Linked DNA regions of Rattus norvegicus. The protein of the gene in region 2 interacts with the protein of the main gene of each other region in a biochemical or structural test. Links are inferred from orthologs where the notes say so. Each region holds a gene or a part of one and is shown on either strand. Other genes may lie near its edges. The genes, in order: Notch1, Jag1 and Notch2.

Region 1 (4,336 bases), about 120 Mb from region 2:
GCAGATGCTGTCAGGTCAGCCACTCCCCCAGACTCCAGAAGGATGAGGCCTTCTTTGTATCCAAGTCAGGTTGGGTAGCACGTGCTGGTGAAGCTGGAAAAGAGTTGCCACACACCCAGACAGCCAGAGGCCTTCAGGACCCATCTCAGAAGGGGCACTTGAGAGCCAGACGTTCCTTCTATGGAAACTGCTCTCCGGGGCTGCAGATCTCTTATATAAATATTTCTGTAGCATTGGGCGATTTTTCTCGCGGGTGTTGACCCCGTGTTGCCAACCCCCAGGCTTGAGGCCAGCTTCTGAGAGGAGCAGGAGAGGGGGGGTCTGGACAGCTGTTGGCACTGGCCCTTCAGTGCCTTCTAGAGACAGGTGTGGCAAGGGAGATGGGAGGCTCGTAGGACAATATAAGCCTGGGCCCTTACCCTGTGTCACACTCACCATCCTGTTTTGGGATGGGAAGGTGTTGTTTGTGCCAAATTCCATTGAATTTTGGCCGCAAAGGGATTAGGAAGATATCTTGGATGTCCAGTGCTAAGCAGCTTAGCACAGGATGTCCAAACCTCAAGGTGGAGAGATTTAAAACACGAGAAGAAGCTGGCGCTAGCATCATTGTAATGGGACAGCACTTTTCCGGGCCACCTAAGTGGCAGAGCCAGGGACCAGTGAGAAGAGTTACCGTGGAACGTCTAGACTCGGGTCCCTGCTGGGACTGGAGAGCGCAATCTGTCTAGCAAGGCACCGGTCCTTGGGGAGTTCCCTTGGGGAGCCCCGAGCTCCCTTCTACAGAGGCTGCGGGCGCGATGCCACCATCCTTTAAGGTCAAGCGTTCCGGAAGTCATGGCTAAGAGTGCCTGGCCTCAATCCTCCTGATGCCTATAGCCAAGACCAAACGACTCCCAAGAGTGGAGCCCCAGGGTTAGGACGCACGAAACGCTGTCAGGGTGCCACATCTAAACTCCTGCCCCGGGAGTCCCCAAAACTTGACTTCAGCTGATCCTGCCCACGGCCCCAGACCTAACTCCAGGGTAGAGCTGGTTCCTGGTGCAGCTACGCCTTTCCCACCAGACCCGCACCTCCTCTACTATTGAAATGCAAATTCTGGCCAAATGTCGCCAAGGGCCGCTACACACAAAACCTGATCCTTCCGCAGCCCCAGTTCAAACTTTTGGTCTATGTAAACTTTCGAACAAGAAGTAGTCCCTAGGTGCCTGTTCCCTACACCATGCCTTCTTGTCTTGTGAACCATAAGATCCTGACTAGAGACGCTCTCCCTAGCCCGGGGAGGCGCAGAGCCCACCAAAGCGTTGAGAGAGACAGGGTCCACAAGGGGAGTAAGGGTGCGCAGGAACCGGGGGCGGAGCGCGGTGGGATGGGGCGGGGCAGGGGCGGGCCCGCACGGGGGCGGAGCGCACGCCTGCCCTGAGCCTCACTAGTGCCTCTGCCGCGGGAGGGAGCGCAGGGGCGTGGGGCGCAGGGCGCGGGTGCGAGCGCAGTGAAGGAACGAGCCTGGGTGCCTGTAGTGCCGGGGAGACCCTGAGAGCCCAGCGCCGCCCACCCGCCAGGAAAGAGGGCAGCAGCGGGTGGACGCCCGCGGGACCGCCCGTGGTGCGCGTGAACGTCCGATCCCCGCCGGCCACCGCAAGAGGCCGCCGCCCCGGCAGCGGGCAGCTGGCGAGCAGGCATGCCGCGGCTCCTGGCGCCCTTGCTCTGCCTAACGCTGCTGCCCGCGCTCGCCGCAAGAGGTAGGCGCCCGCGAGCCCGCAACTTCGGGCGCCCTTCGGAAACTTCTGGTGCGCCCTGCGCACTCTCTGGGTAGATAGGATTAAGGGACCAGATGCCAGAGCGGGTGGACGGGACATGGAACCTGATGTCCTGGTGTATGAGAGGGACTCCTCCTTCCAGGGGTACCGATTTTTCTCATAGCGCCCAAAGACGCTGAAAGTTTGGTATGGGGCTCTGGGGCTTCGAGGCCGGGTGGCCCGGGAGGCCCAGCCCTGGCTCGCACTTGGGCAGACACTCCTGGGGCTCGCCTCGGGGGCGGACATGCTGCTTGCGCCTGCTACTTTTCGATTTGAATCGAATCGGTTTTGGTTTCCTGTTGCTTCTTGGGACCATTTATTTTCTTTCTTTTTTGCCTCCGGCCCGTGCTGGGGCGGATGTTGGGGTGCAGTATGAGGTCAGGGGCGCTATGCTCGCGTTGCTTACTTAGAGCAGGGCGGAGACGATGTGCCCTGACTTCTAGTATGGGGTTTCAGGATCACTGTCCCCTAGCCGGAATCAAACTTTAGAAGAGGGGCGATGTGCAAGCGGCAGCCTAGGGTGGGGGTGGGACTGACTCACTTTGGAAGTTTGGAAATCCTGCGCCGATTGGAACGGGGGTGGGGGGGGGCGCTTATTTCCCTGCCGGCTCCAGGAACTGGGGACTCCTGTCGTAGTAACCAACTGCACTCTTCTCCCAGTAGTTGGAGAGAACTGCCTACCCTTTCCTTAAAAGTGGGGTTTTATGTGATGCTCCAGTTTGGCCCCCACTTCGGGGCTTAATTTCTTAAGATGGGGTGGGAGGGGCTTGATTAATAGCCCCTTCCCGAGAATAGGGTGGAATTCCTTCTAAGTGAGGTTTCTAAGACCCCCTCCCTGGGTGCGGCGGGGGCTGCCCCTGGAGATGCCTGCGAACAGGTATTGGGTGTCGGAGGAGGCGGGGCAGGTCTCCGGGTGCGGCCCCGCTGCCCCAGGAGGCGGCCCTGGCGCGACAATGGGCCGCTCTGATTCCCGGGCCGGCGCTTTGTTGGAGGGCGGGGTGGCGGGCTCCGCAGCTGTCGCTTTTTCCCACGATCCGGGGAGCTGAGTGTGGCCACCCCCTCCCTCCTGCGGCCCCCTCGTATCTTGTGTTTGAACTGAAGCAAGGGTGGAGGTTGGTCGGGGGCTTTTTCTGGGCTCCTTAATCCACTCCCACTTCGACTGCGTGGTTAGAAGTTTGGGAGAATTTCCTAAGTTTTTCTGTTGCCGTCCACTTCGCCTCACTGTGAATGGGGCTGTACACCTGCCACATAGCCAGCCTATCCCTTCCCCACTAGTTTTTGACTGCCACGCTGTGAGCAGAACATTGATCCGTAAGGGCTACCCAGAAGCTCCCCCTCCCACGCTTCACCTCCGGACTGCCAGTAACTCTAGTACATAGGCACCATGGCTTTAGTCTCCGTCCACCGGCAGGACCGAGACTGACCTCTCTCTTCTGACCCTTTCCCAGGCTTGAGATGCTCCCAGCCAAGTGGGACCTGCCTGAATGGAGGGAGGTGCGAAGTGGCCAACGGCACTGAAGCCTGTGTGTGAGTACCGCCCCTGAGGGGACCTGTTGCTTTTGTCAGAGCAGAGCCCCTGCCTTCTGGGGACAGAACACTGGGCTATTGTCTTCGGAAGACAGCCCAGAGGTTGAGTGCAGTCACGTGCTGACTTTTATTGGACAAAGTCTGGCAATTACTTAATCACCAGCAATTATGCCTCGTGTGGAGCTACTCTGGCCCCTGGAGGTTGGCACGCTCCCTCGTGGGCCCTCAGGCTCCTGGGAATCCACGGCACCCTAATTCCTGTTTAAAATACTTGAGAAACAGTTGTTTTTGGTGATGAGACTGAAAGTCTGAGCCCCCGCCCCTTGTCACCTGAGATCCCATTCTGAGCAAGAGTGCCCTAGGTAGGAAATTGAGTATTGCGTGTGTTCTGGTTTTGTTGGTACTGGTGTTTTGGGTTTTTTTTGTTTGTTTGTTTGTTTGTTTGGTTTTTTTGTAGACAATATCTCACAATGTATCTCTGGCTGTCCTCAAACTTCACTATGTAGACTTTGAACTCAAGAGATCTGCCTGCCTCTGCCCAGTGGAAATTTCCTATTTTAAGACAAGATCCACCTCTCCCTGAGGTTAGGAGAAGTTAGAATGGTCCTTGTTGGTACTGCTGTCTGGGTGGTGGGTGTAAGTGCTGGAGTCTGTCTTCTGTCTTGGCAGCTGCAGCCCCACCTCTGCACTGTGTTCCAGGGGTCCTCAGCCTCAGGCCATCAACTGTGCAGCTGGCGTGATTTGGGGATGGGAAGGAGTAGGCAGCCAGGGGAAGTCTGCTGGTGCTAGGGCTCGTGCCTTTCAACTTGAGCTCCTCCCCGATGAGACTAGCAAGGTGCTGGAAGCTGAGGCCTCCCCTGGAGGCTGGAGACAGAGAAGGCTCCAGCCTGCATGGCGCGCCCTCATTCCAAATGCTGAAGGGCCCATCCCCTTGACAACGGTGCTGCTGCCTCCAGTACCCAGCCTGTGGGCTGCAGCCCCACCTCCCTGGCTGGCCCGCCCTGTACTGAAGC
Region 2 (2,616 bases):
CCCAACACACACTCCCTGGACCAAGGTGGTGACTAGGTGAGCTCTAACATTAGTCTACCCACATAGTGGCAAAGAGACCCACTGAAGATAAGTGTACACACAGAGCCATAGGGTGTGGTCTGTAATGACTGCAAGGAATTACTATTAATCCAATCCAAATGGTGGAGAGAGAGAGAGAGAGAGAGAGAGAGAGAGAGAGAGAGAGAGAGAGAGAGAGAGAGAGAGAGAAAGCGCAGTCTCCCTCCTTCACCTCAATACCAAATCTGTTTAACCCTGTTAGTGCAGTGGGCACTCCCTGGGAGTGCTCCCAAACAATTCCCCTGCACACTGCAAGCCATTAATGCAGTGGTATTTATTTACACAGTATTCACACTTATCAAATGACAAGGGAATGGGGGGGGGGGGGCTGACCCTATGGCTCCTGCCTACACAGCAGCCTTGGTTTTTGAGTACTAGGAAGTTTTGCTATTTGCTTCACCCCCGCCCCTTTTCCTAGGCTATGTCCTCCGAATGAGCAGTGCCAAACAGCAGGGTGCAAAAGCCAGCTCAGAAGACTCCACACTGTTCCAGGTTTTCATACAAAAAATTTAATAAATATCACTTTTCAAAATTTATTGCCAGGAACAACACATCAAAGATGTATTTTATGTTCATATAACACTAATAGGACAATACAAAGTATCTTCCTGGGCTCCGTGGTGAGCCAGGATGACTGTTTTATAAGCCTTGTTTGATCTTGAACTTGGTAATAGCACTTTCATGTCCTCACTTAAGGCAGGCAGTGTACTCTATGGCCAATCTAAACAGTGCTCTAACTGGACATTTTATGGTTCAAGTATTCATCTAGCTTATTAGAATACTCCCTAAATGCAGTAGACAACAACAATGAAATCAAATCTACAAGTGGTTCAGCATTACATACGAATGGTGAAAAGAAATCAGAATTTACAAAGTAAGATTGGTAAGCTTCCAACTTCACACAATCTGATACTTTTAATGAGATCCAACCAGTCACATTCTGACTACATAGCTCAGTTTGTTCCCTTAAACTGCTCTGTCACAGATCGCCTGCCTGTCTCTTTTCAAGTCTAAAGCAGGAAAAAATAAAAAAAGAAAAGAGAAAAAAAAAAAAAAACCTGTTCTAGACGAATTCTCAATCTGCCTCAGTCAGTCCTTAGAATGTGTCTTAAAGTGATGCTATCAAGGAAGTGTTTGAACACCTGACGTCGTACAAAAAAAAAAAAAAAAAAAAAAAAATCCATCAGTATTCCCAGGGGAAGAAGCCTATCCCATCCTTCCAAGAGAAACTATTTCCAAACACCTTACTTTTGGCTTACAGGCAACACGTAATGAGAAAAAGTTCACAAAAAAAAAAAAAAAAAAAAAAAAAAAAAGCCATATGTTTCCAACACTATCAAAAACCTTCAATTCTAAACACATACATATAAATAAAAAGGAATGATGTTTTAAGGCTCTTGATTATTAAGTTAATAAATCAAATATACAGAGTGATTAATAAAAAAGAATTATTTACATAACTATACAAAAATTCTACTTTGACACATTTTTCCTCTTTAAATTCTTCATTTTACCAGCAACTGCTGACATCAAATCCCCCCCTCCCCCAACAACAAAAATACAATAAAAAAAATAAATAATAAAGTCATTTGTGATAGTTGCTGTGGTTCTGAGCTGCAAAGGCACTTTCAAATACAGAACTACTTGTACGTCATCATAAAACCAATATACAAAAACAACTCAAGAGTCAATAAATATAAATAAAACTATGATCCTAAGGCTGCCATCACCATTAGGACCGCTGGCAGATGTGGAAGCTCCGAGGCCTAGGCCTGGGCAGCTCCTGGGAGCCCGACGTGTCGGCTGCAGGGGAATGTACACCCGGGCACATTCACTGGTTTTTGCATAGCTGTGAGCGCTGCACTCGATTTCCCAGCCAACCACAGAAACTACCAGTGCCAGTGGAAGCCAGCTTGTCGAAACTTAAATTAACACAGGACTCTAAGTCAACAACAGCCTCAGACTGGGATACGACAACAGTTTAAAGAAACTACAAGCCCCGGGGTGCCCTCAAACTCTACCTATGGCGGCAGCCCACTGTCTGCTATACGATGTACTCCATCCGGTTCAAGCTCTGGGCACTTTCCAAGTCTCTGTTGTCCTGTTTGTTTGTCCAGTTCGGGTGTTTTGTCGGCGTGCCGCTGGGGGCCTTCTCCTCTCTGTCTACCAGCGTGTACACGGGCTGTTTGGCAAACCGGACTTTCTGCTGGTGCTTATCCATATCATCCTCTTCCACTTCCGAGTTGTGTGTCCTGATTTTTGACATTTTGGAGTTTTTGTTCTCATAATCCTTGATGGGGACTGTGTTGGCTCCGTGTTTCTCGATGGGGTTTTTGATTTGGTTCAGCTGTTCGCGCACATTGTTGGTGGTGTTGTCCTCAGGGGCAGAGTGGGTGTGGCTGCTGGGCTTCCGCCGCCGCTTCCGCACACACCAGTAGAAGGCTGTCACCAAGCAACAGACCCAAGCCACTGTTAAGACAGAGCTCAGCAGAGGAACCAGGAAATCTGTAAGACAGCCAAAAGACCAGTTAACTCAAA
Region 3 (3,650 bases), on a different chromosome or scaffold from region 2:
AGCATTTTATACAGAAACATAAATAAACCTGTGCAGTGATGTAAAGCAGGGATGGCAGTCGCCTTCTGCTGTGGGGTGCAGTGGTGGCATGAATGGGAATGGCCCTCACAAACATAGGTTTGAATGCTTGGTTAACAGGGAGTGACACTACTTAGAAGGATTGGGAGGTGTGCTCTTGTTGGAGGAAGTGTGTCACTGCGGGGTGAACTTCGAGGTTTCAAAAGCCCATGCCAGGCCCAGTCTGTCTGTCTGTCTGTCTGTCTGTCTGTCTGTCTCCCTCTCTTGGTCAGTGTCTCTTTACAGCAAGGAACCCGTGATGGAGACAGATAGTATTTTTCTAACACCCCCCACCCCCCAGAATCTAACTTGTTTAATTAGCCTGCTTGCCCTCAGTATGCTGTACAAGAAACACTGCAAAATCCCTTTCTTTGAAATCTGCATTTTCAATGGAAAACACAGTTAAGGATTTATTCAGTGAGTATGAGTGTTTTGCCTACATGGATTTCTGAACCGTGCGCATGGTTCACATGCAGGGTAGGAAATGGTGTTGGAGCCACTGGAACTGAAGAAGTACATCACCATATGGTGCTGGGAACTGGAACCAGGTTCTCTGTCAAAGCCACAAGTGCTCTTTAACCACTGAGCCCGTAATTTAAAAATACTAAATATTTATGTATCTCATTGTATGTGGATGATATGCACACATATGCGTATGGCGTGTGTGTGTGTGTGTGTGTGTGTGTGTGTGTGTGTGTGAACACATGCATGTATGCACAAGCACACAAGTGCCGTAACATGCATATGGAGGCCACAGGACAACTCTGTCCAACTTTGACACGGACTCTGAGGTTGAATTCAGGTGGTCAGGCTTCCATGGAAAATACTTTTACCCACTGGGCAGCCAATGTCATTGTCCCCAGGCTCATAATCCCCACATGGCTGTATTTCTCATGCATTCATTTCCTCACGCTCACTTAGTGTCTGGAATCAGCACAAGAAATGCTCACCCAACCACACAGAACTCAAGATGGTAAGGCCCACCACTGACCTGGGCCTCGGACATTCACGTCCAGCACGTCCACCTCCTGCTCTGCCTGAGGAGGGGTGAGCGCCAGGGATGGAGTCCGGCGGATGTCTGCAGCTTCAAGGTGCTGCTGTGTCCAGGGGCGCCGGTCGACAGGGTCGTCTTCCGACAGCAAAGCCTCGTCGTCCTCAGCCTAGGTGGGGTAAACAGTTTCCCCTCATTAACCTGAGCCCTCCGGGTTACGCTGGTGAGGCTGAGGAGTGGCAGTCTTCCACTATCTCTTCTAACCTGCTTATGGTGGTCGCCTGCGTCTTGTTTGACTCCTATTTGCTCTTCAAATAAAACAAGATTTTAGTCTCGTTGGCCTTTAACAGTGGTTTCTGTTTCCTCAGCTGACCACGTGGTAAGTGCTACCTGGCACTGCATCACCACCAGCCAACCAGACGCCATCTTTCCTTCTTTAAAAGGACTTAGTGTGCAGAGCAGCGGGTTCGTTACAAACCTGCCACTGCACTTGGCTGGCACAGTCACCTCTCACCCCTTCCCGTCTTCCCTCCAGACGGCCCCTGTGCATCAGCTCTGTCTGTCTATGTACATAGTTAAATACAGGCTCCACGTGAGAGAAAGCACACGCTACTTTACTTTTCTTTCACCTGGAAGGTTCTCAAGAAGGGGGATAAACCCTGTCCAAGGTTGCCTGCCTGCACGTAAGACAGTACTCGCCCGGAGTGAGTACTGAGGAGAGCATGGGGAGAATCAGCAACTCAGAGAGAGAGCCATTGCGGCTGCTGCTGCTGTCTTGCAGACACGGAATACTAAATACAACGAGGCTTCTGCCTGACCAGAGCAATGGCTCTTTGATTTTTTGGAGATTATAATATAATTACACCATTTCTCCCTTCTCTTTCCTCTCTCCAAATCCTCCCATATACACCACCTCCTTGCTCTCTTTCAAATCTAGGTTTCTTTAATTATTAATTGTTGTTAAATGTGTCTATATCCCTAAATACAGCCCGCTCAGTCTGTAATGCTATCTGTATGTTTCCAGGGTGACAAAAGCAATACGTTTGCATTCATTTACTTTATTTGGTTTTAGAGGTAGCTGAGGCTGTCCTTAAATTTGGATTCCCTTGACTCAGCCTCTAGAATGCTGGTGTAAAGCAATGGTCTAACTGTCATGCTCGGTGATCTCCCAAGAAGTTAACGGTCTTGGCTTTCCTCACTGGGTAACTCCATGTCTTCCTACAGAAGCAGCGGGATGTATGTGTAGATGGAACTGGGAGCACCGCACCACCAGTCCTGACTCAATGAACACAGGCGCAGGCCCTGAGCCAGGCGGCAGCAGCTTGCTTTACGATTTTAAAGGGTCTTCAAGAACAAACATGAGCAGCAAAGGCTGTCAGTGCTCGGCGGCCCCGCTGTTCATGGGGCTCTGGGAAAGATATAAACTGAGAGTATGACCACAGGACTGCTGGCAATGTGGCTTTCCTAGGACAGCTTACCTTGGCTTTCTTTGGCTGGGGTCCTTCATCATCACCCCAATGCTCGCTTGTCGTGGAGCCGATCAGGTTTGCCTCTGACACTTGCACTGAGAGATTCCTGATGATTATTCAGGGGAGAGACAAGAGTACAGGTTATGGCTGGGCAAACGCAGTGGCTTTCTGTACTTCACCGCACACTCTCATGTTAGCCTCTGACTTGGTCCAATGGGATCGGATGCACAGCACTTTTTCAAAATTACAGTAATATTTTTCAAAATTGAGTGTGCATGTCTGTGTGTATATGAGCACGTGAGTTCAGGTGTCTACAGATCCCCCTGCAGCTGGAATTACAGCCAGGCCACCCAGCATGGGTGCTGGGAGCTGACCCAGGTCAGTTCATATTCTTGACTACCAAGGTATCCTTCTAGCCCCTTTCATTACATCATACACTCACAGCACAACATGAGGACGTCAGCTCCATCCTTCTACCATGCGGGTACCGGGGATCAAACAGGTCAGCAGGCTTGTGGGGGCGGGGGAGACGTTCACCTACTGAGCCACCACACCAGCCCTGATGGGCAATGTTTGACATTTCTGAGCACTCATCCTTTCTCTTCTCACTAAGAGACCACATCAAACGTGTTCCCCCACTCAGACGCTGAGTGTGGCTGCAATATGTGTACACACAATGCTCACAGACTCGGACAAGCCACTAGGAGCTGTGGTCAGGGCGAATAAAGGGGAGGTTGAAAATTTGAAGTTAGGATTCCATAATATGCCCTCCTGCTCATCCCTGCTTCTCCCTGTGGATACTGGCTTATTGTAAATTCCTTACTTCAGCCCCACGGCATCCTGCCCCACAGGTTCACGGCGCTTGTGATTGCTGGAGTCTCGGCGAAGCGTGAAGCCTTCAGGCAGCCAGAGGAAGCCGTGCTTGCGCTTCCGCTTTGCCATGATGACCCCCAGCAGGATGAGGAACAGGATAATGACCACAGCAACCGCAAGCAGATAGAGGAGCGGAGTGTTCCTTGGATCCTCCGATTCACCTGAAAGTTCAGAGACAGGGACAGTGATGGAGACAGAGCAACCTCTTCCTACCAGCAAGGGTGAACCCCAGTGAGGTCCCTTCTCAGCCTCCCCCCTTC

The links.
Region 1: the proteins of Jag1 (region 2) and Notch1 form a complex in vitro, tested with the Homo sapiens proteins (3 studies listed by BioGRID and IntAct, with this or other methods). The link is inferred for Rattus norvegicus from reciprocal best matches to the Homo sapiens genes JAG1 and NOTCH1.
Region 3: the proteins of Jag1 (region 2) and Notch2 form a complex in vitro, tested with the Homo sapiens proteins (2 studies listed by BioGRID). The link is inferred for Rattus norvegicus from reciprocal best matches to the Homo sapiens genes JAG1 and NOTCH2.

Annotation. Positions count from the first base shown.
Region 1 is NC_086021.1:29,718,730-29,723,065, reverse strand, and holds the start of Notch1 (neurogenic locus notch homolog protein 1 precursor), read left to right. Parts: upstream 1-1,452; 5' UTR 1,453-1,678; coding exon 1,679-1,739; intron 1,740-3,244; coding exon 3,245-3,323; intron 3,324-4,336. UniProt on the Homo sapiens protein: Functions as a receptor for membrane-bound ligands Jagged-1 (JAG1), Jagged-2 (JAG2) and Delta-1 (DLL1) to regulate cell-fate determination.
Region 2 is NC_086021.1:144,858,889-144,861,504, forward strand, and holds the end of Jag1 (protein jagged-1 precursor), read right to left. Parts: intron 2,584-2,616; coding exon 2,123-2,583; 3' UTR 565-2,122; downstream 1-564. UniProt on the Homo sapiens protein: Ligand for multiple Notch receptors and involved in the mediation of Notch signaling. May be involved in cell-fate decisions during hematopoiesis. Seems to be involved in early and late stages of mammalian cardiovascular development.
Region 3 is NC_086020.1:188,421,241-188,424,890, reverse strand, and holds part of Notch2 (neurogenic locus notch homolog protein 2 precursor), read right to left. Parts: intron 3,552-3,650; coding exon 3,341-3,551; intron 2,624-3,340; coding exon 2,527-2,623; intron 1,218-2,526; coding exon 1,049-1,217; intron 1-1,048. UniProt on the Homo sapiens protein: Functions as a receptor for membrane-bound ligands Jagged-1 (JAG1), Jagged-2 (JAG2) and Delta-1 (DLL1) to regulate cell-fate determination.